2 linked regions of the Lytechinus pictus genome follow. The protein of the gene in region 1 interacts with the protein of each later gene in a pairwise test. Links are inferred from orthologs where the notes say so. Each region holds a gene or a part of one and is shown on either strand. Other genes may lie near its edges.

The links.
Region 2: the proteins of centrosomal protein POC5-like (region 1) and uncharacterized protein LOC129261036 interact in binary tests that used the Homo sapiens proteins (3 or more experiments, as listed by UniProt). The link is inferred for Lytechinus pictus from reciprocal best matches to the Homo sapiens genes POC5 and CETN1.

Annotation. Positions count from the first base shown.
Region 1 is NC_087247.1:29,888,409-29,905,760, forward strand, and holds the start of centrosomal protein POC5-like, read left to right. Parts: upstream 1-11,135; coding exon 11,136-11,364; intron 11,365-17,352. UniProt on the Homo sapiens protein: Essential for the assembly of the distal half of centrioles, required for centriole elongation. Acts as a negative regulator of centriole elongation.
Region 2 is NW_026974140.1:2,533,924-2,551,177, reverse strand, and holds the start of uncharacterized protein LOC129261036, read right to left. Parts: upstream 8,199-17,254; 5' UTR 7,981-8,198; coding exon 7,969-7,980; intron 3,704-7,968; coding exon 3,548-3,703; intron 2,591-3,547; coding exon 2,462-2,590; intron 1,690-2,461; coding exon 1,552-1,689; intron 434-1,551; coding exon 344-433; 3' UTR 1-343. UniProt on the Homo sapiens protein: Plays a fundamental role in microtubule-organizing center structure and function. Plays a role in sperm cilia formation.

The sequences.
Region 1 (17,352 bases):
AAATTCTTTTTGGAAATAATAACCCTCTTTTAACCAAGACTAGCACTTTTTTGGTAAATTACTGCTGCAGGGATGACTGCAACAAAGTTGAAAAAATGTCAGTAAAGTTGTTTTTTCTTAAAAATTTGGATTTTATGGAAACTAATTACAACTATTGTAGTGAAAGAAAAGCATTCATCATCCATATATGGTAAGAAATTTCCATTCACATTATCTTAATTTTTGTTAATTACTAAAACAATTCAACCCCAAACCTGCATATTTTTTTGTGTATCAGTCCCATTTATTGCTTTCCCCACAGGCAGGATGGTTGCAGTGAGCAAGTGCTATCGGACACAGACTCACTCCTTTCCCTTTCTTGTAAAGGTCTAAAAATCGGTGATTTGAAGCCGGTTCGCAGTACCCCACACGTATCTATTCACCGCCGAATCCAAAATGGCGATCGCAAACGCAAATAATTGCCCACAGGTCGTGAGCAATTTGGTTCGCTATTTTGGATCGTTTCACATTTGCATCAGATTTCGATCTATAGTCCTATCATGAATATGGTGGAAAAATCAGTGAGTTTTTATTCATTTTTTATTTGATATAGATCACTTAGAGTGGTCTTTATAATATAAAGGTATGTTAAGTATCACACTTGATCTAGTTAGATCAAGTCGTGATACTTGGGGCGAGGGATGGGGAGGAAAATAGTGAGGTTTTTTGTCCATGCCACGGTATGCTGCCGAGAAGGAGGTTATATTGGCTATAAATTCGTTCCTGGATGAGTTGGGAAGCATAGTGTAGTGGTAGTGAAGTGGAGTGGAGCATACACGAACATCGCTTGAGGTACCGCCGCACCAGCCCGCGACAATAAAAAGGGAGAAATTACCACATCAGATTGGGATGCAAAATGAACACCTTTATTCAACAAGGCCTAGGCTGAACATGCCGGCTAATATTTATACAATCATATGGTAGCTTCAAACAAACTAAACACAAACATTGACGTGATACATTCTTCTTTCTTCCATCTTCATCTATGGAAAGCGAATTACCTAAACACTGTGCTGCACCGAATTACAAGCACTACATTCTGGACTAAACAACCCTCAGTACAAATCACATGATTCGAGTATCTAAAATAGTTCAAGTATTTCACTAGAAATCTGCATAAAAAGCACAAACTAGTATGTAACAACACTGCATGTATGGCCATGAACATGTTAAACAACAAACCTACACAATCAAGTAAAAAAATACAATACACGTATCTGCATAACTCTAGTTAGACTAGTATACTACAAAAGGCAATAGCTAATATAAATATGCAAGTTTAAAGGCATGTAAACTGTTCATTAACGTTAAATGAACAAACAATACCTACAACAACCAATATACAAATGCTTCTTCGTCCATCAACTTCTTACCGTGCATGACCACAAAAAAATTAAACAAAGGCCAAACATATGCTTTAAAAAAATACATCTATAAGGTATTTCTAAATTGACCAATATCTACTCACATTTCCATAACAGCGTGCCATTACAGGTAAACACAATAGTCAACCAATGAATCCGAATCAAAAGTTATTCCTTTCAATAGTTTAAAAAAAAATGATGATCCATATTACTATCCTTAATAAAAACAAATTATACACAGTAACTATAAACCAAAATTCAGGCATGTCGTGAAAAACAGTTCTCTCTTCCACTTGACCTACACTGATAAACCGTGTAAACAAGCTTAAACACATCTTAACTATGATATGCACTGTTGTGCCACCTGTATATCATAATTGTAAGGAACAATACAAAACAGGTACCTGTAACAGGGCGTATACAAGCTAAAAAACAAGTAAAACAGAACCTAAAAGGCATAAAACAGCTACACCATGGAGCGAAACGGTGCGATCGAATATACTGGAAATATCACAAATGAGGCCTACATGTACATAAACCTGTCACCAATAAAAACCAAGAGGTAAAATCTAAACTATCAGTATTAAACAATACAATAGCATAAAATTCCATTATGTAATAAGCTTACGGCTCACATCAGTATCCCAAAATAACAATAGCACAATCATAACAAACAAAAATATCTCACTCAAGGAATATTTACAAATTTTTTTACACAACTTCACTGGTCAGTGTTAAGTCCAATAAAAACTTACATGAGTACCCTTGGCTATTGTAAAAAAAATAACAAAATGTATGACAAAAATAACCAACTTAAGTAACTGTACAAAAATTAAACTATATGTGTACAACTGGAGGCCAACTGCACCACCAACTGGTAAAAATAAAAAACAATATCAAAATGGACAAGATTAAAACATGTCTAAGATACTAACAGATAATGTGGTTATGGCATTAACATTAAACATGATAAAGAAACCAACAAAAACACTGTCATAAATATACAAAGACAGATTACAAATCGACAAGGAATAAATCACCATCAATACAGTCAATAACTGCGAATGTTCGAAGAAAGAGTAACAGCGGTCAAGTGAAAACAGTAAAAATAGTCCAACAATTCTTGCGGCGTAGAATGCGACGTGACCGGCTGCTGCTAACTAAAAACACTGATGCAGGGGACAGGCTGGGGGTGTGGAGGGGCCGGGGGGGGGGGGGGGGGTGGGGTAATATCCGGCGCATAGCTAGCAAAGCGACCTATGTCTGGGCCTATGTCTGGACCTATGTCTGGACAACAGGTGTTGTTCCGAAGCAGACCAAGTAGCGATGAGGGGTTACCTCGAGGATCATATAGAGCAGCGGACATGGGGACCAAAGGTCGCGAAAGTCCATAGGCGAGTCGTAGTGAGGCCATCAAAATTCCTGTAGTAGGGCCCATCTTGAGGGTGGTGTGATGACAATCTCGGGCAGTTCCACTGGTACATGAAGTGGAGACATCGCGAACACGTTGGACGTCGGGGGGTCGACCCATGGGAACCGAGATGTTGGTACTCATAAGAACTGTACCCAGGCTGGGGATCACATCAGAGGCGGTATCCCTCACAGGCTGGTAGGTGGAGTCATCATGGTATCGGTCTAGAGGACATTGGAATTCCTCATCCTGGACAGTGGTGGCTATGGCATCAACCACAAAAGAGCTGGAGTGAACAACACCATGCTGGTAAATATGGACATCTGGGGAGTGTCCTTGGGGGACCAGGGCATCCTCAAGCTGAAGAGAATGTGGTGGATCCTGACGTAGATCAGGGATGGTACTTTGCTCAAAGCAGTCCATGGTGAACTTCCGATCAGCACCTGGATCAATGGCTCGAGTTGGGTTAACTGGAGATAACTGAATACGAGACGATGGCTCGAGCATATACAGGCGCAGTTGATGTGTTGTCATGTCAACGGAGGTACTGCTCGCTTGGCTGATAGCGAGACCGGCTATTCTATCATTCGTACATGCGAACCGAACGGAGGTATTGTTAGTTTGGCCGATAGCGAGATCGAGAACGGCTATTCTATCATTCGAACATGCGAACCGAACGGAGGTATTGTTAGTTGGACCAAGAACGAGATCGAGAACAGCTATTTTATCATTCGAACATGCGAACCGAACAGAGGTATTGTTAGTTTGGCCAATAGCGAGATCGAGAACGGCTAGCCTATCGTTCGAATGTGTGAATCGAAAACGAGTGCCTGTATGTGAATGGTGCATGCACTGTTCGGGCGTGTGATGAGTGAACAGTGTATCAGAGAGCGCAAGAGCCTATCAGCCCCGTCAATGCAGGTAAAAGTTGGCTCAATCTGGAAACCAGGAGTACTGCCAGGGATAACTGACAAGTCTTTGCACGTTTCATCTCTCTCTGATGAACCAACATAGCGAACATTGCTATCAACAACATCACAGAAATTCAACTGATCTTTACTCGCACCAAGTGTGCAAGTGCCTGATAGCATATCAAGTGAAGGGGGATCACATCCCAGTCCAACAGTGAGTTCATGACCTTGGAAACGATCAGGCTCCGATAAACAATCATCATCGGTAGGAATACCCGGATTACATACCACATCATTGTGAGAACCATGATCATCATTAGCTACATGCATTGCCGACAACTCAGCAGCGCAACCATCAAGATTAACAGAATGTGTTACAAGGTCGGTTAAATCTAAATCTCCGGACGATATAGCTCTAGACCCATCTAACTCAACGCTAAACCTCGAAGAATCGCTAGTGTGAACAGGCCTACTCCAATCACCTGTCACTCCAATGTTACAACCATAATGAAACACGTCATGACTACTTCTTCCATCTTCTCGCAAAGCAACGTCATCGACATCACGACTGGGGATACCACCTTCGTCTGCATGTACAAAGCTAAACTCCTTGGCATTGTCTTTACGTTTATTTTCAGGGCAAGTCCAAGAAAAGGTCACCCTAGAAGGCAAAATTTCATCTTTAATTTAAGAAGTTATCTTTGGTGGGGTAAGAAAGCCCAAATGTTGAATTTTAAAATTTCATAAAGAAAAATATGATAATATGCATATTTATGCTAATTTGGGGCACCTAATTTGCATAATTGGTAAAATGGGCGTTACGTATGGGACAATTATAAAAACTCATAGAAAATCAAAACAAAACTTGTGAGAATTAGTCATAGGTGGGACATGGACCCCCTAACATCTTATTACTTTTTGGGGAAAAAAGTGGTGTCATCTAATTAAATATGCAAATTAGGTCTTGTCCAAGGATGGAATGTCCCATACATAACATTTCGAGGATGTTTTTTAAAGTTATTTCTCATAATGCAATACTTGTATTATTGTATCTCTGGGAAGTTCTAATTCATTAATTAGGAAATTTTTATACCACAAAAAGTTTCAAAAATAAAGTTTACTTTTTAATTAAAAATTGTTACGTATGGGACAACATGTTACGTATGGGACATTTACACATAATGTCAATGGGGAGATTTGTGTACAAAGTGAATGGAGAAAAACCATTTTCAAGAGTGCTCTAAAAAGTGATTATTTACCTTTTCTTTAGTGTTTAAAGACTAATTTGTTATGAATACTGATTGATGAAAACAATCAAAGTGGAAAAATTGTGAAAATGGAACAATATGAAAAAAATAAAAAACAATAGAAATACATAAGAAATTCATGAAACTATGAAAAAAAAGAAAAAAAATTGTTGAAATGGCTCATTTTCTTTTCAGTCATATCAAATATGTCTCAATAAAACATTTTAAAAGAAAAAAACTCTTTTGTTATTTCCATATTTTAGATTATTTGGATTTTTGAAATTGTAGGGAAAATTATGTACGTTCTCTATGGGGACAAAATGTCCCATACGTAACTGTCCCATACGTAACATGTCATTAATTTGTTTAATTAGAGTCTGTAATTAGAGGGTTTGGGCTTATGACATGAAACTTGCCATAGATATACTAGAGTGTAGTGACTTCTATCACACTAAGATACAAGCTGTCAAATGAAATACTTTCAGAGAATTCTCAACTTGAAAAAAAAGGTTTTAAAAATTATCTTTTTTCTGCGTCCCATACGTAACAGCACATCTTTTCTGTCTAAAAGGTCAAGGTCAAGGCCATATGACACAATTTTTTGCATGATTATTCTTCTCCTAGATGTCTACCATCATGAGGGTATTCAATTTAATCAAAGTAATCTAACACTATTTTTAAGGTCATTAAAGCCTCTGAAATGTCCCATACATGTACGTAACGTGCGCGAATTCTTGGACTTGCCCTTCATCACTTCCTTCATCAGATCTCAACTCATCATTAACATTGTCTTCATGTTTATTTTCATCACTTCCTACATCACATCTCAACTCATTATCATTGACATTGTCTTCATGTTTATCACTTCCTTCATCACATCTCACCTCAATATCATTGTCTTCGTGTTTATTTTCATCACATCCTTCAACGAATCTCAACTCATTATCATTGACATTGTCATCATGTTTATTTTCATCACTTCCTACATCACATCTCAACTCATTATCATGGACATTGTCTTCATGTTTATTTACATCACTTCCTTCATCACATCTCAACTCAATATCATTGTCTTCGTGTTTATTTTCATCACATCCTTCAACGAATCTCAACCCATTATCATTGACATTGTCTTCAAGTTTATTTTCATCACTTCTTTCATCACATCTGAACACAATAACAAGTTCATGTTTATTCTGATCACTTCTAATTCGATCATTACATCTGAACTCAGTGACATTATTTTTCTCACGTCCTGCATGTCTCAATTCATTGTCATTCAACTCATCTTCACAACAATCAAGACTTTGAGTTTGACTGACATGATATTGGTAATTGTCATTAGCTAGCATTTGTCTGTCGAAACCAAAATGTATGCAAACAAGATCCCATATGTCTGCAAGTGAAGTGGACTTATTTACAATAGAACCTCTGGCGATAATCGGGCAAGAAGCTGAAATTTGCCCCAGCATGAGTTCCAAAACCACAACTTTCTGAGCGGCTGTCTTACCGCCAGCAACGTCAAAGGAATCGTCAACAAAACCCCGTACGGTATTTGCCTTCGACTTCCTTTGCCATGAAATACTCTCCGATAGAAAAGGCAAAAAATCAGTATATGAACACAAATTCATCATTAAACTACGCTTCCACTCTAGGAAGGATTCGGGAGTCTCGTACCGACTCAACCTGCGCAACTGTGCGGGCACTTCCGCTGACTGCGTCATCGTATCGTACTATACGTGAGGCTATCAAAGCATTACCTGTGTGTCGCTAACGCTGATGGAGCGATGAATCAGCCAGTTCAAATTGCAAAAATCACTACAGCTATAGTCCTAAACTGTCGATGCGTGACCCAGTTTTGGCCTAAAAATTCCTATGTGGCAGGGAACGAACCTAGCGCTGACACCACGACAATAAAAAGGGAGAAATTACCACATCAGATTGGGATGCAAAATGAACACCTTTATTCAACAAGGCCTAGGCTGAACATGCCGGCTAATATTTATACAATCATATGGTAGCTTCAAACAAACTAAACATAAACATTGGCGCCGGTGGTCTGACACAGAAAACAAGGCAAGAGTTCCATATCATCATTGCAACCCCCAGTAATCATTAAACATACCTAGTTGTGTTGCCAGACAGTTGATTTTAAACAGTCATAAAGTAACAACTTAAGCATCATGAGCAAAGTCTCATCAATATTAGTACAAAATATTTGGCAATATTATACCCATATTTTAAGATGCTAGAGCCATATTTACAATTCACAAGAGAGGAGAAAATATCATTTGTATCAGTTTGATATATTTTTTACTGGTCATGTTGGACCAGTAAATCTGGCTATTTCTGTAAAGTTACTGGCCCTACAGCAATTTTTACTGGTCTGGGACTGTCTGACCAGTGTCGCACGCTGACTTAGGACCGACCACCAGCCATACACTTATTTTACCGCCGTTTCTTGTCACGCTGGTGAAATATTTTTACTCTTCCAACTCAGTTCTATGATGTCACCATGCTAAATGATGGTCTCACTACTTCCACTGCATGCTCCAGTACATGACTCGATGATTGACGACGGATATTTGTTGTTTCCTATCAGATTTCTTGGTGTGACTATGAACAACTGTCTTGCAGTAGGGTTCGGGTCTGGTCAATACAATTTTGATGAATTCTAAATTTTTTAAACCTTTTTATCCCTCCTTTTCTCTAGTTAAATCGATTCTTATCTTCCTATGGACACTGCGCCTACTCTCCCGCACATAGCATTTGTAATATGCAATAATCTAAATGAGCGCAAGGTGGTTGGTTTCGAAAGAGGTGGTTGATGCATGTGTATGTGGTGACTCACTATACTATTAGTAGATCTAGATCTATAAGTCTAATGTTATCTCGGCCTATCTAGATTATGGATAAGGTAAAAATTATACTAGTAATGGCATGCACACTAGTAGGGACAGTGATTTTCTATTTCTAAAAATTTCCTTTCCGTTTCAGAAAATCTTAAATTCCGTTTTAGCATGTATGAAAACGAAAGTTCTGTTTCCCCATAGACTTTGTGTACATGAAAAAGTGACAATTCTGTTTACATAGAAAATCAATACGCGACAAGTAGCGATGTCAAAATGCTCACGCGGGTCAAAATTTGTATCTGCCACTGTACTAACAATACTTTAAAATCTATTGTAATAGAGGTAATACGAGTACAAAAACTATTTAAAAAAACATTAACATGAATACATCCTTTTTGGACATCGTTTTGAGCAGTCGACGACTCTCGCTTATCCACAATTTTGGATTAAGGGAGTACAGTGGTCATGATGTTTTAACTGAACGCAGAGGGCAGCAACACAAAGCTGTGTTTCTGCCTTTATTATGCAGACATGAATGTAATTTCGATACAATTGAGTGATGGAGTCGAGTGCAGTCACGATGTGTGGATTGTCATGGATGTAGCAAAGTGATATCATGTTTGTAGCCAGTTGATATTCGTATTTCGTTGAGGATATGAAGTAATTTCTGTTGCTATTCTGTGCATTTTGAGAAAAAATATGTTTTCCTTGATTTTCTTTTTGAAAAGCCACTTTCCGTTTCAAATGGCCAATTCCGTGCATTCCGTTTGTTTTCCGTGATTGCGGTAAATCACTGTCCCTACACTAGATCTTCTAGACAAATTAAATCTATCAACTGATGTGCGGAGAAACCATTTTCGCAAGCCAGCGACAATGTCAATGATCAATCACCACAATTCACACCAAACACATGAACAATGAAAGACATTGGTATCACTCACCATATAAAGTCCTGATTTCAACTCCAAAATTCTCTCTGAAATGTCAAACGTCAGATTTTGCCCTAAAACACGTGGAATCTGATTTCAAGAAACAGGGATCGCTAAAAGTAAAAAAAAAATGTGCTAGAAACTAAGAATCTGGTTTTGTTCTGCTTTTTCGAAATTTCTCGTTAGGATTGTATCTTAAAAGTTCATGGATTCAATTTGCACAAAAAATAGAGGCAACGGCATGCCTCTAGTTTGCCTTCATTCGACTGGCTCCAGGAGCAATGTGGGAGTGAATGGCCACTTACTTCCAGGTTGCATATCGCAAGTAGTGCAACGCAATTTAGCGCCTCTTGCATGCATTGACTATTAAGTGCGTGATGCGCTATGTCAAACAAAGGGCAGAGGGAGTCGATTCTTATCCGCAAAACCTGGTGATAATTTCAAGAGTTTATGAAATATTGAAAATGAACTATGGAATTAAAAGTAGGCTAACATGCGTTGGTATAAATTTCATTTGTGAAAAGATAGCTTAATAAATGAATCATGCAGAAAAGCTCATTATGTCAAATCTTGGACAAGTTACTCAAACAAATATCTATGACATTTAGCAAGGAACAGTTGGATATTCATGCACTGATGCACATACCAAAATATGGCTTTATTCTGTCAAATTTTGAAGGAAAATCCAGGGCGTTTAACTCCTTAAGACATTGGATTATTTAGTCACAAGAATGAAGGCACTATAGCCTTGAATAATGGGATTGGACTAATCATGATATCCGGTTATTGTCTCACCTGCATAGCAGAGTGAGACTATAGGCGCCGCTTTTCCGACGGCGGCGGCGGCGGCGACGGCGACGGCGGCGGCGACGGCGGCGGCGGCGTCAACACCAAATCTTAACCTGAGGTTAAGTTTTTGAAATGACAGCATAACTTAGAAAGTATATGGACCTAGTTCATGAAACTTGGCCATAAGGTTAATCAAGTATTACTGAACATCCTTCCTGAGTTTCATGTCACATGACCAAGGTCAAAGGTCATTTAGGGTCAATGAACTTAGACCATGTTGGGGGAATCAACATCAAAATCTTAACCTAAGGTTAAGTTTTTGAAATGTCATCATAACTTAGAAAATATATGGACCTAGTTCATGAAACTTATACATAAGGTTAATCAAGTATCAATGAACATCCTGCTTGAGTTTCACATCACATGACCAAGGTCAAAGGTCATTTAGGGTCAATGAACTTTGGCCGAATTGGGGGTATCTGTTGAATTACCATCATAACTTTGAAAGTTTATGGATCTGATTCATGAAACTTGGACATAATAGTAATCAAGTATTACTGAACATCCTGTGCAAGTTTCAGGTCACATGATCAAGGTCAAAGGTCATTTAGGGTCAATGAACTTTGGCCAAATTGGGGTATTTGTTGAATTACAGCCATAAATTTGAAAGTGTGTTGGTCTAGTTCATAAAACTTGGACATAATAGTAATCAAGTATCACTGAACATCCTGTGCAAGTTTCAGGTCACATGATCAAGGTCAAAGGTCATGTTAAGGTCAAAGAACTTTGGCCACGTTGGGGGTATTTGTTGAATTGCCATCATATCTCTATAAGTGTATTGGTCTAGTTCATAAAACGTGGAAATAAGAGTAACCAAGTATCACTGAACATCTTGTGCGAGTTATAGTAGTTTTCAAAATCAGCACTGCTGCTATATTGAATCGCGTGATGCAGGTGAGACGGCCAGAGGCATTCCACTTGTATTGTTTTGGAAACACTTTCTTTCAGTGATATCTCGCTAGCGCAGTGGCAGTGTATTGGACTGAGAATCAAAAGATTGGAGCAACAGAGGTTTGAATCCCAGAAAGGTAGCTATTAATGTGTGACTGGAAGCGGAAGTAGAAAAAAAGGGGGAAAAATGTTTCTTAGCTGGGACTTCAAAAACAAATTTACTGGGAGTACATATGGAAAATGCAATTTTCTCAAAAATTGGAAAGTGGTATTACTTGTGTGTGGATTCGTGTGATGTGAAGGAGGCAAGAATGAGAAGTATGAGTAAAAATCTGTAAATTTGTGTACTAAATAAATGGAGAGTTGTCCACACAATCACCTGTGATGTAGCATGTTTCAAACTTCCATAACTCTTATTTTATTACTGATTTTGATAAATCTACTTTTATATCAATGATATTCTCGTTTTCCTTTCAGATTGATGAATTCCTTGGGGTGTAGCTCCAATTGAGATGCTAGCTCACACCTCACAGTACAGACAATTTACAAAGAAAAAAATTATTTGAGAAAAAAGTTTTCCCAAATGATGTGAGTTGATATCTCATTTGCTTTTTTTTTGGTGGTTGTTAATAACAGAGCATTATGTCTACATCGACTGAGGCAGATAGCATCCCGATGCTCCCTCCTGATGATTCACCAGGAAGCTCCATCTCCTCGAGTCTCCAGGAAGAATACCAGGAGCTGCTGCAGTATGCTGTAGTCACTCCACATTATGATCCTTCTCAGCTCCCCCACACCCTTGCCGGAGCTGCCCAATCGTTCCAACCCCAGAGACCGATCAAAGACCAGCTCATCTATCTCCAGTCAAGCGGTAAATGAACAAAATCACTTCCACATACTGTAGGCCTACATCCTGAAAAAGAAACCAATACGTGTTCATCAACGATTTGTGTGCTATTTTTCACATTGCACGCATTTGAGCCTTGTGCACTACCCAGCTCTGCGTCGGATCTCGTACTACTTAAAATGTGCTGTATTAAGCCCTACTTCTGGTTTTGCAAGAAAAAAAAAAGTTTTATGCTTGGTTGTCTTATGATTATGTCTAAGATAATAAAAAGACACCTAAATACCTTTCAGAGATAAAATCTTGGGATGGTGTTATGAAAATTGTTTTAACATCTTGTATCTAAGGAGTTATTATTCTGTAAATCTTTTGATCGTTCCTTGTAACTTTTGTAACTTTCACTGAGTACTCATATTGTCAGAGCTATGATATGTGTTAAACTACAAACGATGCACAAAATTTCTCTGTGCCAGATAACATATCGAGATGTAAAGTATTCTGAACATTCTCTTGTCAATTTTTAGGTTAACTTTCTTAGAAATTTACAACTGGTGGGGAGTCTATATTGTAATTCAATGTTGCGTACAATATTTATTGGTCAACAAGAATTCTCGCTACCCCAAATAGGAACAAAAATCTCATAATGCGCGAGACGAGATAATTTTCACTCCATCTGGTCGTCATCACCACTTCCGGTTCAGAGTTATGCTCGCGCGAGGTTCGCGATACTGAGTTTTCCACCACGCTGAAATCGATGCAAATCAGCGTAATATGTACAGATTATACTTTTTTATTTAATTTGGTCAGTTTTGATTCCATTTGAATTATAAATAAAAATACAAAATATATTTCACATGAAAATAATTTTTATTCATGTTTTTATTTGGTTATAAAGAAATAAAACAAAAAATGAATATATTAAAATTTTGCATTTAGCGACTGACATCACGATCGTATTTGACTAGACGCTAAATATATACACTACAGCATTCATTCCGTTCAATTTTAAGTCGACCACAAAATGGATAAAAAATCTGTTTCGGAACTTAAAAAAAACTTTACTGACAGAGGAATACCGTGCAATGGTATCTTAGTAATTACGGCTGCCAAGCTACAGCTGGGGTAATAATATCCAAGTCCTTTGGAAGCGCATAGAGACATTATTCATAATTGTGATATGCGCTATACAAGAACTGTTTATTATTATTATTAATGGAAAGCGTCGGGCAGAATTAGTAACTTAAGCAGAAAAGGCCGTTAAACTGTATCGTGAAAGAGAGGGTTGTGATCACGAAATTTCCGAGCGAAAGCGACGTTGTGTTGTTGTGGATGACGGCACTGTTGATCTGAATGGCAAAACAGTGCATTGGACTTCATTTCATTTCATTTCATTTCATTTATTTCCATATTCAATTAAAAACAAACATAATCATCAAATCACAAACAAGAATATATACATATATATCACATACAGAAAAAACACCTATAAAAAAAGAAAGTGAGAGAAGGCTAATTTACATACATATAAAAAATACATAACAAATTGAAATATGGTGGAAACATCAAAAGCCACGGGGGCTTATCGAGGGTATTCCCATACGATTAAAATACAAATTAAACATATTTTTATGAAGAGATGTCAAAGCCAAGATAGAAAGAGAAAGAGTGAGGAAATGAAAATGAGATTGCATAGTAAACAGGAGAGATTGACACACTGTAGCATGTTTCTACAAAAATCTATTAATTATCATTTTGCAGTATATAGTATTTATATTTTCTTTTAAATGATGACAAAGTAGGATATAATTGTAGCTCAAGTGGGATACTGTTCCAGCATTTAGTACCCATGAATATAATAGTTGTTCTTGAGAACTTCAATTTCAATAAAGGTAAACGTATATCCCCCTTGGCCCTAGTACTGTATGAATGAATTGCACTATTTTGGGAACAGGAAGTTGTAATACCGAAAAGCTATCCCATAATGCAATGCACGTTACAGGGATTTTTCCCGGATCTCGGCGAAATCGTTATTTGGGGTAGCGAGAATTGTTTCTTGCTAGATCCAGCAGGAAACCCTTGTTATACAAGAGGAAATATTCCAAAGACATTACAAAGTCAGATTTACAGATATTCACTAATGTAGAGATCTTATTCCGGACTAATCTTTTTATTTTGAAGAAAATATGCATGGACAAATAACCATTTGTGTATTTTCAGCACAGTAGCGCATGCAGCCACGCAGGGGTGGCACATTTTAAACGGTGTGTTTTAAAACATGTTTTAAAACACCCGTTTTTGTCTCACCTGCGAAGCAGAGTGAGACTATAGGCGCCGCTTTTCCGATGGCGGCGGCGTCAACACCAAATCTTAACGAAGGTTAAGTTTTTGAAATGACAGCATAACTTAGAAAGTATATGGACCTAGTTCATGAAACTTGGCCATAAGCTTAATCAAGTATTACTGAACATCCTGCCTGAGTTTTAGGTCACATGACCAAGGTCAAAGGTCATTTAGGGTCAATGAACTTAGACCATGTTGGGGAATCAACATCAAAATCTTAACCTAAGGTTAAGTTTTTGAAATGTCATCATAACTTAAAAAATATATGAACCTAGTTCATGAAACTTGGACATAAGGTTAATCAAGTATTACTGAACATCCTGCTTGAGTTTCACGTCACATGACCAAGGTCAAAGGTCATTTAGGGTCAACAAACTTTGGCCAAATTGGGGGTATCCGTTGAATTACCATCATAACTTCGTAAGTTTATGGATCTGATTCATAAAACTTAGACATAAGAGTAATCAAGTATCACTGAACATCCTGTGCGAGTTTCAGGTCACATGATCAAGGTCAAAGGTCATGTAAGGTCAATGAACTTTGGCCAAGTTGGGGGTATTTGTTGAATTACCATCATAACTTTGAAAATTTATTGGTCTAGTTCATAAAACTTGGACATAAGAGTAATCAAGTATCACTGAACATCCTGTGCGATTTTTAGGTCACATGACCGATGTCAAAGGTCGATAAACTTTGGCCATGTGGGGTATCTTTTGAATTACCATCGTCACTTTGAAAGTTTATGGATCTGATTCATGAAACTTGGACATAAGAGTAATCAAGTATCTTTGAACATCCCGTCTGAGTTTCAGGTCACATGACCAAGGTCAAAGGTCATTTAAGGTCATTGAACTTTGGCCATGTTAGAGGTAATTATTAGATTGCTGTCATAACTTACATGTGTATAGATATAGTGTATAAAATGTGAATATAGGGGTAATCAAGTATCACTGACAAGTTTTAGGTCACATGATCAAGGTCAAATGTCAATGAACGTAGTATTGTATTATTATATGAATGGTGTTTTTTGTGAATAATTATTTTATAGTTGTTTTCAAAGTCAGCACTGCTGCTATATTGAATCGCGTGATGCAGGTGAGACCGCCAGAGGCATTCCACTTGTTCAGCTTAGATTTCATGATTTCATGAATTTCAGTTTATGTAATTGTACCAGACCTAGATCTATGATGAACCTTGATTTTACAGACTTTCTCATGAAATCAGGTTTACTGCAACTACTTTCTAGTTTCATAATATTGAAAATTAGTCTGAAATAGATATATATTGGATTTTATTGCAATAAAAACTATCAAAATACAATCACAAGCAGTCAAAGACTGAAATAAGTGAATGTTTACATACAAATAGAATCATAACAAAATATAATGTAAACATTATAAATAAATATCAAATACAATACAAATTCATACAAATGAAAAAGAAATGTATCATAAATAAATACAAAAGGCCATTAGTACTACAAAGTGTCACCAAGGAAGAAAAAAGAGGGATGAAAGATTATGAAAGAGAGAGAAGAGAAGAGAGGTGGGAGAAGGGAAAGAAATTGGGATAAGACAAAGAGAAGGGAAAGCAAGAGGTGGAATTTGAAAGAGAATAGGAGGCAACCTTCAGAAAAAAAAACTGATTATGCAATACAAGACATTTAACAATGGTAACAAGTAAATAAAGTAGTAGTTGCATCGAAACGAGCACAAAAAAGGGGAAAAGTAGAGCTGAGGAAATACATGTAGACTCCCGAAGGAAGTCGAAGCAGGGTTTCAGATCAATAACTTTGAAGGGTTTCAGACTTTCAGTTATGTTCTTTATGCAGCAGAATTCCCAATTTGCCATGAAAATTGAGCCTACTTAAAGGAGAATGAAACCTTTGGAACAAGATAGCTTGTGTGAAAACAGAAAAATAAAAGAAACAGATCAACAAAAGTTTGAGAAAAATCAGACAAATAATGAGAAAGTTATGAGCATTTGAATATTGCGATCACTAATGCTATGGAGATCCTCACATTGGCAATGCGACAAAGATGTGTGATGTCACTTGTGAACAACTCTCCCCATTTAGTATATATTTCACTTAAACTTCCTCTTTTATCACATCTATCAGTAGATCATGTGTCCTTTCTATAGAAGGGAATGTAATACAGATTTTTAAAGAATACGCCGTGTATAAAGAGTTTGTATCACCACAAGAAAAAGCAAAAAGAGAAATTTTGGGGGTATTTTATAGTCCATCAAAGGGAAAGTTGTTCACATGTGACATCACACATCCTTGTCGCATTGCCAATGGGAGGATCTCCATAGCATTAGTGATTGCATTATTCAAATGCTCATAACTTTCTCATTATTTGTCTGATTTTTCTCAAACTTTCTTTGTTCTTATTCTTTTATTTTCCTGTTTTGACACAAGCCTACTTGTTCCAAAGGTTTCATTCTCCTTTAAAAAGCTAAAAACAAACATACCTTGTTGACAAACTTTGAAGGTAGCACAAGATTTTTAAAGGAATATAAAAGAAATTGGCTCCCAGTGAAGCAAACAGACAAACATTGACAAACTTTGGAGGTTAATAATGAGAAAGAACTTAGTTCTGAGGAGCATTTAATCAACATTTGTTCTCTGACAAGTTATCAGATCTCAAAACTTTCTTTCATTTTCACTGGCTGAGAGGCACTTTTACTATGGTTAACTGTCATAAAAAACAAGATTTTGTCAGATTCAGATGAAACATTTGACAAGTCCTTTCATGAATTGTTCCCAAGGGGCCCGTAACACAAAGCTTAGCAATGATTGTAGAACATTTTTTTTTACGATTAATTGCATTTACTACAATGTACAATCAATTGTGAAAATCAAGCGTACAATTAATCGCTAATTTTTGTGTTAATGGACCCACATTTCATTTTTTTGTCTCACCTGCGAAGCAGTGTGAGACTACAGGCGCCTCTTTTCCGACGGCGGCACACAGTGGGCCGGGGCGAAACAAAAGTGCGCCAAAATTCATTTTGGGCAATTTCAGATTTTTAATTTTTTTCATGCCCAGCTGAAAGACAACACTTTGAAGAATACTTCAGCAAAATATTTTATTCGGGAATTTGCATAAAGGATGTTAATTTCCTACCTCAAATCGTAAAATGTGACATTTTGCGAAATGCCGCGTGTATGACAACATAGTTGAAAAGCAAGCAATTTCACGGGAGGTTTTTCATGTAGGAATCTGAAATGGCACCCACGTAATCCTGATATATTCTTCTTTTCGTGTGAAATGGTTCAAATTAGATAAAAGACACATTTCAGGAGGTTTATAGGACAATTATTCCTCGAAATAGGCTGATAATCCATGTTTTTAGCATTTACATTAGAAACGTTTATATTTCCGTGGATTTCTGTTTAAATTCTATCATTATCATTTTGCCAGATGTCTAAGCTTTAAGTTGGTACCAAATTTAGCTGCCCGTTTTTGCCCGTTTTCATGTTAGAGCCGATTTTACTTGGCACAACACCCCCAAAACCTGTTCAAAAACGGTCATTTTTATACCACGCAGTCATCGCAGCGCACCGTGTGGGGTGTACACTGCCGTTCATATTTGCACGGCGAGGACGATTCCCCTTCCATTCCATGAAAAAGACATGAATTCCGGGCATAATGCAAACAAAATAAAGGT
Region 2 (17,254 bases), on another chromosome or scaffold:
GCACTTTAAATGAGGTCATATATAGAAGAGAAAATTACGAAAATTGTGTAACTTCATACGACATCAACAAGGAGATGACATGATTTTCTCACTCATTGCATATTTATAACAATTTTTTTTTTCACTGAAATAACATAAACCTTTAAATGAATTGACTTTTTTTATTTTTCATCATATTTTGAAAAAAAGAAAATCACAATTTTTTTTTTATTCTACTCAAGTTATCACATTGAAATTATTTAGTAAAGGCCAGAGTAGCCCTCAATCAATATTGAGCCCTGTACAAATATAACCTTGAATTGATATTTACAATATTTACAGCGCTTGAAGGATCCTTGTGTCATCAATATAAACTTGTCTTCTTCATTATCCTGAGGAATTCTTGCTCGTTGATTTCACCATCGCCATCTCGGTCTGCCTCATCTATCATTTCCTGTCAAATTTGAAGAGATAAAATAGTTGTTTATAGATAGACAAACTTGTGACACGATAACATTTCATCAAATTTGTCAAAGAGGATGATAGATTCAAAGGCCCGTATTGTGAAGTCGGGTTTAAATTAAACCCTTGTTTGAAGTTGCAGTTTGACTATGGAGAGCCAATTGGGGCACAAGTCTCTATTAGTACATGTTCAATTTATTAACTCTTCTGACACTCAAATCATTTATTACTGTCTCAGAATGATAACTGAAATATTTTCTTCATTATAAAAGCAAAGAGAAACAGAATAGTAAATATAAGAAATATACAATATAAGCAGAATTTTCAAGTTTTTGGCTCCCCATAATTTTAAAACAGACTTAGACCACGGTTTATAAAGTTAAAACTAACTTCAGAATACGGGCCAGAGTATGAGGATTGAAACACAAGCACATTGGATTCTATTCACACTAAACTTACTAGATTTTTTACTACCAGAAGTTCGGAACAAAGTACAAAAGCTCTGATTATCTGCAATGACGGGAGGGAGGCGGTAACCATTACAAATAATTTTGTGATTCGCCGACCAAAATACTGAATTGAAAATTAAAAAGTCTCACCACCATGAAATCAGAACAAAGCTTTATGTAAGTGAGAAGATGGCACTCAACAGCACACTTTTTCTTTTAGTATTTTTCCTTCTGGTATTTTCTAAAAGTATTAGAGATCTTGTATATCAATGTTTGCTCCAAAGATGTAAAACATAGATGCACTCCTTATAGAATGGGTCATCTCATTGAAACAAGGGTGAAATCCCTTAACATGTAAGGACCTACTATCATTGAAATACATAATCAGATTGTTCCTTTGAATATTTGCATATATCTGTTTCACATAATTATGCAACAACTAAAGTCTTTAGTTATATGCATCTTATTTCTAATCCGATTTAGATTAATTAAGCAGTTTGCTTCAAAATTCATTCATTCATTCAAGCTGTATTTGACGGATATCAAGATGAAGTTGCCCTTAAAATTCAATATAATTTCTTGGTGAATATTCCTTCTGAAGGAATTAATGCATTCCTGTCTGGATTGCATTCAAGAATACTGTACTTGGTAAGATAGATACCTGTAGCTCTTCATCTGTGAGGTTTTCACCTAGTTCTTTAGCTACCCTTTTGAGATTCTTGAAAGAGATCTTGCCCGTCTCATCGTCATCAAAGAGCTTGAATGCTTTCAAGATCTCCTCCTTAGAGTCCTTTTCACTCTAAAACATGGAAGAAAAAAGAAAATAAAACAATATAAATATAAAAAATAAACTTTTTCATGAATCAACAATATTTACATAAAAAACAAACTTTCATCTACACCCATACAAAAGTGAAATGCCAGTCTATTCCAATAGATAAAAAGTATGATGCATTTGTAACCCCCCCCCCTAAATGGATTAGTAGACTGATTTCAGTCATAAAAAGTTCATGTTTGTATATTGCTCTTTTGACAACATTTAGAGGTCTTTATATGAAAAGGGAATTTTTGCTCCACGAGTCACTACGTATTCAAGAACATAGAAAAATGTATTATCAAATGCCCTTCATAGCAATGAACAATCTCTGTCGAAAATTGGTGAATCAAAAGCTAAACTCTAGGCAAACTAGATATTTGCAAATTTTCATCAGCTCTAAAACTTAGGATGAAACTGTTGTTCGGATTCACCAATTTTCAACAAAGACCTACCAACTGCTGTCATTTGATGGGTAATTTCAATACACCTAATGTGTTCTTGATTCCATCATGCGTCACAGAGTGAAAACTCCGAATCTATCTGTTAAAGTCAAATTCGAGTAATCTTAGTGAGCATCAAACTCAAGGTGAACAGTTTTCATCATGACAGAGTGCTTTGTGTTTTTTGCTAATCAAAAAAATGATTAAAAAAACAGTAAAATGAAAGAATCAGTGATGTTCTTTCATATTTGCTATTCATTGCAGACCTTTGTGTTACATGACCCTACCATAAACCCTGCTTCAGTTACACTTACCATCTTGGCAGTCATGAGTTGTAAGAAGTCATTAAAATCAATCGTTCCTGAACCTTCTTTATCAATGTCCTGAATCATCTTTTTAATCTCTTCTTTCTTGGGTTCAAAACCAAGGGCTCTCATAGCAACCTGTTTCAATACAATAGGTGGAAGATAAATTAATGAGGACTGGCTGTTGATAATCGATAGTAGTATTCTAAGGTCTACATGAAGTGACTTTACCACAGGACACAACCTTGACGGAACTACATGTATCATTTTCAATAAATGCAGTTTTGAAAAATATAAATACTATTAAATTAACCTTATTACATACAAAAATTGCATTATTTTATGTTAGAGATCACATATCACCCCAGCATTTTCAATAAAGGGTTTTAAGTACAATATGTACAATTGTAATTGCTCTTATTCAAAGCCCCCCCCCCCCCCCATTTAATTGTTTCATCTAATAGTCCAAAGAAGTTCCACATTCAATCCAGGTCCAAGGCACAGAACAGTAACAATATTTGTGACACTGACAGGGTGTAATACATCAATAATTAAACAAAGATACATGTTCATAAAAAAAGGAATGGAAATTTTAAAGACTAAACTTGAATAGGGTATTAGGAACTATTCAAAAGACGGAAAAAGGCTCTATGTTGTCATAAACTAGAATACGAATTGTCTCCAAGACAACAAAATAGTGTACTGAATGAATTAAAGTGGCACATTGTAGAAAATGTAGCAGAGCTTTTACAAGGATTATATATTTTGAACATACATGTATAATAAAAATATACTTATTTGTATAGCGCAGAAACTATGTGCATATATTCTACTGCGCTGTAATTAAGAGCGATATATCAAGAAAAGTGATTGTGAATTCAACAAGAATATTAAGACCAAAATTCATTTTGGTATATATTCAGACTCCCATGAATTACTAGCTATTGTTGTTATGACATTTCATTCGATGGCAAATGTATAAATGATGAATAGCACAAAGGAAGTTTTCACTGTTATGCTTTTGTTGGAGTTGAGTTGACCTTTAACTTGAAGAACAACACATCTTAGGAGAATAGAGATGGAATGCCTTCCTACCTTCAGTTCCTTAGCATCAATTGTGCCTGCTCCTTCTGTATCAAATAGATCAAAAGCCTCTTGAATCTCTTGTTTTTGTTCTTCTGTAAGCTCTGGCTTTGGACCTTGCTTCTTTCTCTGCCCCCCAGCCAGGGTGGTCTTGGTATAACGACTCGTCTGTGGATAGAAAAAAAAGTATCAACATTTCAGGTATTAATACACATATAATAACCAATGAAATTAGCATTACATTGAATAGTTTATAATCATGATAAGATTACGGAAATATGTAAAATTGTATTGATCAATTATTTTTCATGATAGAACAATAATAGCACAATATACATAATTAGAAGTTTTCAAAATATGAAATTAAAAGCAATGAAGTAATGCCATAACACACTTTTAATATATACCGGTAAATGTAAATCAGTTAGCAGTGAAATATGGGGAGGGGAAACCCCATATATATATGGACAAAGATTTTGAACTGTCATTAGAATGAGGAAATATAGATGTTTTTGGTTATATTTTCTGAGTACAAAGGGGAAAGTTATACTTCTGTGACATCACAAATCTTGGTCCCATTGCCAATACGAGGATCTCCATTACAATAGAGATTTTGAAATGCTCAGAACTTTCTTATTGTTTGTCCAGTTGTTTCCAAATGTTAATTTTTCTGTTTTCATTACAAGTTAACTTGCTTCTAAGGTTTCATTCTCCTAATTTTTTTTTTTTCTGGTTAGATCACAATATCTATAGAAATAAGATCTACATGTAAATGCATGGTTTTGTACCTGAAAATATTAGCGCTTACCATTCCAGCTCAGTGACTGGAGTTTTCCAGAGACAAAGTTCTCCACTGTTAAGATACTCATCCTCAAGATAATCATTTTTCAGCAGACTTATTTATTTTAATTTTTTTATAACAATTCACAGTCACGATCGTTTCCAGTTAATTGTTTTGATGTTGAGCCATTTCCTTTTTTTTGGAGTAAATTGCATGGCTGGTTCATGATAGAAATGAGGAATAAGCCTGCATGATGCTATCGCTTCATGACATCACCCATGGTTAGGACCAGTCATCCTACATGTATGTACAAGGTTATGATCTAACTGTCCTCAGTTAATAACCCTGTGTGGTGAAATAAGGTCTGGAAATGTTCAGCTAATTTCTTTTGTGCACAGTCTGTTTCTACTACAGTCATTCATCATGTCTTGGTAAAAAAAACTACCGGTAGAGAGGCCTACAGTTCTTTCAATATACAGCTACATGTAGTCAGCCTCACAAGGATATGCTACTATTTTTCAAGCACTCTGGACTGGTGAATAAAAATAATAAGAGTTCTCTAGATCTAATACCCAAGATTGTAATGAAAAACATATCATAAATAAATGAGCAGAGTTTACTTGTTTGTGACAAATATGGCCCAAAGTGGCATTATCGAGAAAATGGGAACCAATTCCCATTTTAAACTGGACACATTTTCAAGACAAGACATGCCCTACCTACCAATGACTTCCGATTACATACTTCATTGCCGTTGCTGAGGCTGCTTCTGAGCTTCTTAAGATCAGAGATTTAATTGATTGCTGTTTCTTCTCTATAATGAAATCGGAACCTGCATGGAAAATTCTCCACAGGCATAGAGTTGTAAATGAACATGCTGGTTTCCATTTCAGTATGTATAATCAAGAAAATTTACTTCAGAGATTTATTTTGTCAGTGACGATTCTAATCTCACCAGTAGACTAGAATAGAGGCATAAGAGAATGTGAGAATTATTTTTGCAGTTATGATGCTAATATATCTAAATAGTAGACTGCCCTTGTTCCACTTGCTGAAACGGGAACCAGCATGTACAACTCAATGGTCAATTCTCCGTACAGCAGTTGTACACAGTGGTGCCCATTTAGACAGTTATACTAGTTGGCAAGATTCATCTTGTCAGTGATGATTCTGATGACAGATAGAGTTTACTAGTGAGATTTTGTTTTGTTTCTGATTTACTTAATGAATGTCATTGATTTTTTTTAACTGTATGAAAGTGGTATCTAGAGCGATCTTGAAGATCAGGGAAATGCAGATGGATTAATAATCAGAAAATTATATAATTCAATAAAAAAAAATTGACTAAATAAAGCCATGCAAGGGATGATGATTCATCGTCAATATCATTTGTCCACCAATGGAAATTTGAGGCTAAGGAATAATATCGAGTGAGAAAGAGGGAACCAGATGCATGGAGAGCTTTTGCATTGTAACGACAATGTTATGCAAAAAAAAAGGCTTTCAATTTGGCATTAAATCTTTTGAACATGAAAATCTCTGAAGCTGGCCTTAATCACTCCTAGTACCAGTGAGGTCAAAACATAACGGTATTGACTTCATAGGCAACAATAGCGGATATAACGGGGTGGTGCATTTGTAGAAAGTAGGCACAGGTGGTAACACACAAATGCACACAATGATGGCGACAAGGATGGTCGACGGGATGAATTGTCTAGTGATTTTATTTTTATTTTATTTTAGTCATGTACTTTTTTTAGTGAAATTAGTTATTGCTTATTGCAGTTTAGATATCACAAATTAGATCAAAGCCTAAGGTAAAAATTTGATTACATACCTGTGGATTTTGTACATTTATGCGGGGGGGGGGGGGGGGGTCGGGGGGTGGAGGCCCTCACATACATCAGTGGTACGGGGCCGTACAGCGTTGAGAACCCCCCTTTTCAGACCTCATTTTCAGTTCTCTAGATACTCTGAATGATAAAAGTTCCATTCAGAAACCGCCCCACTAACAAGACCCATGTTACGAAAAATCTGTTCCCCAGCCCTGCCTATACAGTGCGTTTCAGAAAAAAGGTAATCCAAATCTACAGGGCTGATATTGGGATCATATTTGATTTTGTGAAATTATTCTGCATGGATATGAAAGAGAAACTCATCTGCTTTCCATTCATACCCTATTTGTACCATAAAATGTTTTTCAAAGAAATTTTTAGAATGAAGAGTCAAGGCATTCCTCTGAAATGATTATTGAAAGATTAATGTCTTATTCACCTACACCTTCAACATGTCCTCCTCTCCTTTGCACACAAAACCGGCAGCGTGGATAAGAATTAAGAATATCTTGGACAGCTCGTCTTAACATTGCACAAAAGGCATCCACCTCTTGTTGAATTCGGCCCTGCAAATCATCAAGATCTTGGGGAGGAGTTGCAAACATTTTGTTTTCCAAGTGCCCAAAAGGAAATAATCACAGGGCATGAGGTCAGGGGATTTTGCATAGTGGCCATTCTACGTCCTGGTTGAGGGCAACAACTTGATGTCGAACTAAAGAGTTCTCGAACGACGTTGGTAGGATAGACAGGAGCACTGTCCTGAATCCACCAAAGATGCAGGTACACTCCTCGAACCTGTCTGTCAAAATGTTGGTCCAATGTGGTACGATCTCCTCAGAAATCATAAATGCAAGTCGGCATACATGTACATTCGCCCATTTACACTCCTTTGGAAGAAAAAAGGTCCAATCAAAAGATTTTTGCCAGCTCAGGCATCAATGAAAGTATTTACATCTGCATCTACCTTTCCATCAAGTTTTCAAAAACTTTGAAAAAGTGGTATCTGCACCTGTTGTCTTCAACATCAAATAATTCGGTCATGCATGGCACAAATGGTACAAATAGGGTATCAATGGATAGCTGATGAGTTACTCTGTCACATCCATGCAGAATAATTTCACAAATTTAAATATAATTTGTATATCAACCCTCTAGATTTCGATTACCTTTTTTTAAAACACACTGTATTGTCAAGCATAATCATCGCAAAGCTAGCTGCATTTACTCATGAATATTTAGGAGTATTCCAATACTGTAGATCGCGATCAAGAAAATAGCAAAACAATCTCGATCTAAAGGAATATTCATGAGTCTTGACCAGCGATAACCTGTGAATGTGTAATTTGCATTTGCAATGTGTTGGAATCAGCAGTGAAAAATAAGTGCGAGGAAATAGCTACTGGCTGTAAATCACCAATTTTGAGACTGATAGAAGTGTGGACAAGGAGTGAAATGTAAGATGAGTTGTTATAAATGAATTGTAAGTTGTATTAAGTTCGCTAGGCACTGTGCCTAGCGAACTTAATAATACAACTTTTCAACAAGCAGTACGTAGAGGCGCTGGTCAGAAAATTGTATTCGTCCCAGATTTTACAGGGACTGTCTCAGTTTTGAAAGATTTCTCCACACAAGAAATCTAGGATAGTTGTTGTTGTTGTTGTTGTTGTTCGTTGTGGGTCGTTTCCACACCCAAATGATCTCCTAGCTGGTATACTCTCAGTGAGTTTGTCACAAGGTTGATGAGCTGCTAGTAGGGATCCCAAAACGAAAATCTAATTTTTGAAATCTATGTTTAAAAGCATTGAAAAGTACCTCACCTGAATCAGCATATTAAAAAACCCCAATTGAATGACTTTTAGTGTTCCAAAGAGATCTAAATATCTGTTAATCTGAGGCGAAATTAGGTCCGAATTGTGACAGATTTGTGTACAAATTTCTCTTTGAAATTTGGTCGACACGTACGGCACAGAGCTCGGCACTGAACGAGGGATTGTGGGCGTGTCCTTTCTCGTCTCGGTCTATTATTACGCAAATACACAACTCGAACGAAAGTACGTTCACCGTATCAGTTAGTCTCGGATCCGAGCTTATACAAATAAACAATGATTAAATAACAAGAAAATAATAGAAAGAAGAGAAAAGGGAAAATGAATGGCTCAAATGCAGTCGTTTGGTGACGGATAGTATGCTCTGACCTCTTGCTGATATAAGGATTAGATATGACATAAGTTTTATGCCATGATAACTAAAGCATGGGGGGGGGGGCGAGGGCACTCTGACTTTCAAAATAATTAACTATTTAAACATCTATATCTAGGCAATTAAGGGAGGGTCCGGGATTTCCAAAGGGGGGGGGGGGCACTATTAGCCATGTTAGCGGTGGCAGTCAAAAAATTTAGGGGGGCACCAAAATTTTTGACAAAAAAAGGTTATCAAAGGGGGGGGGGGGCCGAAAAAAATTTTAGCCCCCCAAAAAGCTAACAACATCCCCCATAGGCAGCGGGGGGGGGGGGGGTGTGCCCCCCTAAATTTGAGGTGGGGGGACGATCGTCCCCCCCTAATTTTTTGTTGATAATCTTTTTTTTTGCTTGTCAATTTTTTTTTCCTGCGTGCATGCCCCCTAAATTCCAGTGGACCACCCTAAAAAATTCATGTGGTCTCCCCTAAAATTTGGGTTGATACACTTTTTTGGGGGAGGGGGCTTGTCACAAAATTTTGGTGGTCCCCCTCCCTAAATTTTTGATTTCCGCTGCCAATGGTCCCCACCTAAAATTTAGGGGGGACATGGCCTATGGAGGGCACATTTTCCCGATGCAAATTTGATGAGCATTACAAAATATTTTTTTACCAAAAATTGAAAGTCATTTCGTCCATAAAAATTGACAAGCAAAAAAATAGGGCATATATATATATATCCTCACTTTCAAGGGGGCATGCTTGGGTAAAAAGGGCATGCTTATATTACAAATTACAATTTTGGCTCTCGATAATTATGCCCCTTGGACCCACCAGTAATCTAAGGGGAATTTTTTGTTTTTAGTTTTGATATGGCTACCTTCTCGGAGGGCGTCCTCGCCGCGGTAGCTGGATAGTGCTGCAAAAGAGTAGGCCTTATACATATTTTGCAGCATTAACTGACACTCCGAGACTTATAATTTTACCTTATACTTAAAAAATGAATAATAAAAAATAAAACATAAACACTTGTTTTTAGAGTAAGTTGATGCAAAATATATTCAGTCTGGGGCATGAAGACTTGGAACTCTGCCCCATATCATTGTGCTTGCCTCGCTCGATTTGTATCATTAAAAAAAAAAAAAAATGTTTCCACATTAAAATTTTGATCTAAGTACAATGGCCAGAAATAATAGTACGAATAAGCTAGCAGAATTTGTATCATATTACCCATATTATTGAACGCCAACGAAGGCAGTTTCTAAATCCTGTTTGCTTTATTCCACTTTTCCACTAAGATTCATCCCTTTTGCGTGTCATATGAAAGCAGTTTTGTGCGCAGATCTAGCGTACCGGTAGGACCACATGCAGTCATTAATAGGTCTCTTTAATTTTTTTTCCAACAATTGATGTCTCATGCTTTCTTTAAAATTAATAAATTAGAATCCTTGTATATGGCCCTGGGAAGTGGGGTGCTCGGGTTGTGACCCCCAAGTTTTTTTGTTTTTTTTAGCTGGTGGTGCGTTTTTTGTACACGTATATAGTTTAAAACAGGAAGAAGAATGACATTGATTTTTGTACCGCATTATTTTCATTAATAATTTTATTGGTAGAAATAAGGTAGAAATAAAATTTAAAAAACATTTTTCAAAACTATTCCGCGGCTCCTGGAAGAATGGAGAGATGGACGGAAGGAGAGAAATAAATAGGATGAAGGGGTGGATCCAGCTTTCGCCAAAGGGGGGGGGGGGGCCAATTTTTTTTTCACCATTATTTTTCCCCAATCGGCCGCGCGAATATGGTTTATATTTGTTTCTATGAAGAAATTGTCACTTCTTAGCTTTTGTCTTATAAATCAACATAAATATATGATATCATAACCCTTTTTATATAATGCGAGCTAATTTATTAAAAAAATTATGTTTTTCCCCAAAGTTTGAAATTTCTGGGCAATGTTTATCATGAAAAAGATGTGTATGCAACTAAATAATTACTAAGAACGCGAAGTGCGAACAGAATTGAAATCATAGGCACTTTTTGTAACTTAAACAGGATAGGTATATAACTTAGCAATATTGATGCGAAGCGCGGGCACAAAATTGGAAGATTTAGACCTAAAAACGAGACATGTCTAGTCATGTCTTTTAAATCATCATGGAAAAGGATGTCAAATTGCCGATCTTTGTTACTTTAATAATACTCGCGCAAAGCGCGAGCATAATATTTTTGTATACGTTTTGAACTGATCAAAAAGGTACCTGTTAAGGACTGCTTATTTCACTTAGCCATGGAGACGTTACATATTTCAACAATAAAATAATGCAAGCGCGAGCCGATTTTTTTTTTACACTTCTACATAAAGAATGGAAAATTTTAATCGATTATTGTGACCATGAACAGGATCGTCGCTATAAAACAATTAATGCGAGCGCGAAGCGCGAGCGGGAAAAAAAATCGAGATTTAGACCTAAAAAATGGGACACTCTATTCATGTTTTGTATAATAAGGATGAGTAATAGGGGTTCTTCCTACATAAAAAATGCGAGCACAAAGCGCTAGCAGAATTTTGTTTTTCAGAAACTGGATAATGATTGAAATACTAACAAGTTGAGTATCTATAGATAGACATGCGCTCGCGTGTTTCCGATTTAGGCCTACAATCTAGGCATTCTGAATATATATTTTAACATGAAATTGAAAATCAAAGCGAGCGCGAAGCGCGACCTTAAAATATTTGACATTCTGATCTGAAAAAGGGGTCAATTTCAGCTCAAGTACTTTGTGAGGTGAATTTGGATCGCACTTAATAAAGAGCTGATAGATTTGACAAAGGACCGGGACATGAAAGTGATGAATATCTTCCTATTCCTCTTGCTAAGCGCGAGATGAAACAGAAAGGACAATTAAACCATTAAAATTAATATCTGATCTATAAATGCCTAATGAGACGCGAAATCTGATGATAACATGGTATGAAAACTGGAAATTTCAAGCACTTTTGTAATTATGAATATGATGTATCAGGTAATATTTTTAACCGTTTATGCGAGCGCAAGTCGCGAGCCAAAATTTTTATAAGGCCAAGTCACAAGGATTACCCTCCTTTTAACTGCCATTATCAATATGTTACTACATTATAAATCATGTATTTACTCTACATATGCATTAAATTCTGTGAATCCCATAATCTTGAACCATTAATGCTTCTTTCTTTGACCCATGCTATTTCTGCCCATTTATCTCTTGAGTGTTTTTTTTTCTCTCTCTCAAGGTGTGTATGGCACATTGAGGAGTATAGAATCATGTTGGAGATATTGAAAGGGGTAGAATAATTGAATGAAATTTATGGGGGGGGGGGGCAAAGATGTTGAGACAGAAAGGGGGTTTGAGAGAAAAGAGGGGAATTAACTATAAAGGAACAGCAGTCAGGAGAGGGAAAGAGAGAGAGAGAGGGGGGGGGAGGAAATCGAAGGAAGATATGCATACGATAAAAGAGTCCTCGTAGAAAGAGTGAGAGAGAGAGGGGGGGATATGGAACTGAGAGATCATAATGAGATAAGAAAGAAGTAGTAGTGCATGGGCGGATCTATCGCCAATAGGGGGGGGGGGGGGTGCCAATTCGTCTACGGCCAACTTCAACTTGTCCACTCCCCGCATATCGAAAACTTGTATGCAGTGTACCGGACATGTAAAAACATAGCAGACGACGTTTGCAGACCTCGCGATCATCGTATGACTAGTGGTGTGGAATGTTCCATTGCGGCTTTATGGGGGAAATAGCATTACAGAGGGATAAAATGTATACACAGATAATGTTTCAGCGTTGATTCGCAATATTTTGAGTCAATTTTCATAAATTATCGTTGTTTGAACATTTAAACATCATTATAAAATGAAAGAAATAAGCAAAACTTAATTTTCAGACTTAGCTATGCAGTGGTATGCTAGCATGCACCCCTCGTATACATAATGGACCCGTCATGGGTGTAGGTTTGCTCTTCGGACATCACTTTCACAAAGAAAATCTCCTCTGATTTGATGATAAAAGTGCCCTATTTCCTTATTAACCAATCCCCATGGTTCTTTCATGAGTATTTGCCTTACAATGTGCCCTTTATTGTAATCTGGGCGGAAATTCATGATACCACCACCCACCGATGTGACGACGGATATAATCCACCGGGTACTATAAAAATGTCCCCCAAACCCATTATCCCAATACATATTCCTGACTATGGATGGTTTCTAGTGATTTTAATGTAATAAAGTGCCATATTTCCCACCAATTGAATGTAAAAAAAATTATGGTCATCTGATAGAAGAAGTTGTTACCATTCATTTCAGGGGGGCGGAAATTCTATCTGAATCAACGCTTGTCCTTGATACACATTTGTTTGTGAAAAAAGGGTATAATGCAAGGGAATTCTGCGTGTTATAAGGGTGCGCGCGTGCAGCGAGGACCTTCTGTCCGCTAGTTTTCCATATACTACATGGTCTACTTTCATTTAGTCTTATGCCAATCTGTCCATCAACATTTCGTCTAACAGCCACTGGTCCATTAACCATTTGGTCCAATCATCACTTTGTCTAATAACCATCTCGTCTATGACCATTTAGTCTCATAACCGGTTGGTCTAATATATACCCATTTTATTTTCATTCATTCACAATAATACACTTATAGTCCAATTAGATGAAATGGTATATGGACCAAATGGCTTTTGGGTCCACTGGTCATTAGACGGAATGGCATTAGACTAAATGAAGAAGAAAAAAGACTATGTGGTGAGTTGACGAACTGATGGACCAAACGATAGTAGACGAGTTGGCAATTAGACAAATTGGAAATAAACCGGGGAAGGGGCCGAAAAATATTTGCACCCGTATTTTCCACAATCAGCCGCTCAAAGTTAATAGGGGTAGTCCTAACAGTCACTTCTTTATTCTCATTAAACAGCATACACAAAATACAATATACAATAATATCATAGCCCCTATAGTGCAAGTGCGAAGCGCGAGCTAAAATATTTTTGAAATTTCATGTTTTTTATCCTCAAAATTGAACATTCTGGGCAATGTTTGTGAACTTGAACAAGATGCGTATTTTACTAAAATTGCTGCGAGCGCGAAGGAGCAAAAAAAAAGTAAGTAAGAAAAGAGAGAAATATACGTTCTGGCCTGATCGAAAAGGGACTTGCTAATGGCGGTTTACAGTTAGCCAAGAAGACGATGCATATTTCAATCAAAATAATGCGAGCGCAAAGCTCGAGCTAAAATGTTTGAAATTCTGACCATAAAAATGGACATTCCAAGCACTTTGTGTATGAACAGAACACAGTGGGAGCACGAAGCGTGAGCGGATAACAATTGAGATATATATAGACCTAAAAGGAACACTATTTTATATTTATGTTTTCTAAATCGTGAAAAGGGTGGGTAATTGGTTACCGTCTTACATTATTTTATAATGCAAGAGCGAGAAGAATTTTTTTTATATTCTAATCTGAAGCGAGATAATTTAAGCATGCTGTTTTCAATAAAGGATAAGCAGCCCGTCTCAATAAACATGCGTGTTCTAGAATTTGTGCATTCTTAATACACTTTTTACCACGGAAATCAATAATGCGAGCGCGAAGCGCGAACTGATAATATTGGATATTCCGATGTGAAAAGGTCAAATTAAGCACAATATAGGTGGTTTGAATAAAAATGAATAAAACGGCTATTTCGACTCTCCGTACGGCCGCCGCAGAGCAAATGTGACCGAGGTATAAATCAAAAAGAATAATGAAAGTTCAATGTCCTAGCTGACCGTACAGTATTTGTTTTGTATTTTGACTGCAAAGCTTAAATGTCAAGCTCATATATATCAGCCTATTGAGCAATATGTACTCATCGAAAATAAGCAATGCGAGTGCGAAGCGCGAGCGAAAATTTCAATTTTGCATGTTCTTTTAAATCATCAAAGTCTCCCCTCCCTAATTTTATTCACTTTTCTCCCTCCCTTTCCCCCTCTCTTTTCCTTCTGTTTCTTCTTCCTTTCTCCATTTTTTGGTCTTTATAATCCGCCAACAGGGAAGGGGGGATGACCCCCCCCCCTGGATCCTTCTATGGTAGCGATGGGGAAAGCATTTGAATTATTCACCTCACAATGTTAAACGGGGAAAATAGGAAATGGCTAAATTTTGAAAATCATTAATGTGGAGCCCTATTCAAGTTTAGTTTCATCTATATACACCTTGACAGGGGCTGATCCAGGATTTTCCAAAGTGGGGGCATTCAAGACCTAGTATGCTAAGAAAAAATCATTCCATACACAAAATTCCTGGGAAAAGTTGAAAAATAAGTCCTCACTTGAGAACGAACGACAAAATCCACTAACAAATATTTGATATATTACGGGAGGGGGCACCTTTATTTTTCTCCCCTTTCCTTATTCCTCATCCATTCCATAGGCAGATCCAGGTGCCGGACCCAATTATGGGCGGCGGCAACCCCTCCTACTGGCGGTGCGAAAATTAAAAAGGTAAAAATTGTAGCCCCCCCCCCCCATTAGCAAAATGTTGATCTACACCGGGTATTTGTCTGTCGTACCTCCCAGTAAATGAAATAACCCAAAAAAAAAATCACCGTTGCACTAGTATTAAAATTTTTGCGAGTCTTTATTTTTCAAATATTTTTGTTTATAATGGTATTCATTAATTATAATTATAGTGGAGGTTCGCATCCCGAGAATGTGAAATGAAAAAAAGAAAACAAAAATTGCACTGAACAGGAAACACTAAACGTCCTTGTCAATTCCAATTTACTAAAAGTCATTCAAATAAAAAAAATAAGCATCATTTTTTGATACCTTAACTTGTTCATCACGAATACAATGAAGCCGACAATTATTTGCTTTGTTTTGGATTAATCTTTATAATAATTCACTTCAAATAAAATTTATACATAAACAGGAAAATATCACAGAAAAAAAAATTAATTGCAGTTGTATAAAACATCATAGAAAATAACATGACAGATAAATTTTATCTCGACAGGCACACTGTTCATTCGATCATAAAACAATCGCGCTGTTTCACTCCTTGTACACGCACATCTCTACCAGTGTTGTTTCATCTTCATCTGCCTCAATGGCAAGGACACCAGCATGATTCATTCACTTCAAATAAAATTCATACATACATATACAGGAAATATCAAAGAAAATAATATAACAAATCAATTGCAGTTGCATAAAACACGATAGAAAATAACATGGCAGATGAATTTTATCTCGACAGGCACACTGTTCATTCGATCATAAAACAATCGCGCTGTTTCACTCCTTGTACACGCACAACTCTATCAGTGTTGTTTCATCTTCATCTGTCCTCAATGGCAAGGACACCAGCATAATTAATTCACTTCAAATAAAATTCATACATACATATACAGGAAATATCAAAGAAAATAATATAACAAATCAATTGCAGTTGCATAAAACACGATAGAAAATAACATGGCAGATGAATTTTATCTCGACAGGCACACTGTTTCATTCGATCATGAAACGATCGCGCTGTTTCACTCATTGTACACGCGCAACTCTATCTGAATTGTTTCATCTGTCCTCAATGCGGCAAACACCAGCAGTGCAGTGACGATAATAAGTTGCAGTTGCACGTGCGCGGAGAATGAATTAAATTCGGCGGCTGAGTAAAGTCTAGCGAGAAAGGTACGTCACCAGCGAACTTCACGATAGACCACGCCTACTTGCCGAGGTAACCAACGTTGATTGACGGCCCATTTTGTTTTTTGAGTAGTATGAAAAAGTGCAAGCATGTATAAACTTCATTTTAGTTTGAATTCATTAAAAAAACACATTTTTCTTCTAATATAGATGTTTCAAACATATTCCATGTGGAAAACATAATTTTTAAAACATTTATTGCTATATTTTTATCATGAAAAAAGGATTTCTTACGCAACAACAAGTATGATATGTGTGGGCAAGAGAACTACCGTTTTAGTCATAAAGCATATTTTTTATGATTTTATTGTGAGCCTACTCAAAGGATTTTTGTTTATTTTTATGAATTTCCAGACCAAGTTCAACAGCGCCGTCTCGAGCTTGCAATAACGCATGCGATCGCACGCATTTTTCTCCATAGCGAATACACGCGACGAAACTCTGTGGATTTCTCGTGGATTTAACCTCCAAACGTCACTTTCGATACCACATGAAGGTAAGACACTTCATCCCACATAAGTTAATTTAAATGTAGAATACACAGGGCCTAATTTTTTTCACTAAGATGAACTAATTTGCTGAGGAAAAGCATTTCAATGCTCATTTTTGCCGTCGAGAACAGACGATGGTGGCAATGCACACTGTTTACGCACTTGCAATTGGCTTTTCATTTGCCCATAGCAATTTTGCTCAGTGGATCGGCCGACCTTTTGGTAACTCTACTGCTAGGTACTAGGATAGTTCATTCACCTGTCAAGTGCTGACACCAATCAAGTGGGCATAAGCCTGTCTAGGCTCCTTGACCTTGATGTACTGACAATATCAAAATCATAAAAAATATCATCACGGAGTCCTCTAACTAGACTCGAGTAACGGTCGTTAAATGATTTAGTAGAATTAACTGACAATGACATGACATGCAGTGGGTGTCAAAAAAATCAAGCATAAAATTAAAATCATTTATCCCCCAAAATGGGCCAAATCAAGAGAAAATAAGCCAAACATTGTCAACCTTATTTCCTCACACAGAGAACAAGGTTACAGTATATCATAACCTTGTTTACTGAATGAATAGCACATGCCACAGCACAGCTCAGCTAACTTTCAAATGAATAATTGAGATGTCTAAAATATGCAATAAAGTAAAACCACTCACATAAGTCTTAGCGAATGGGACCGAAGCTAAAAATTGAAAC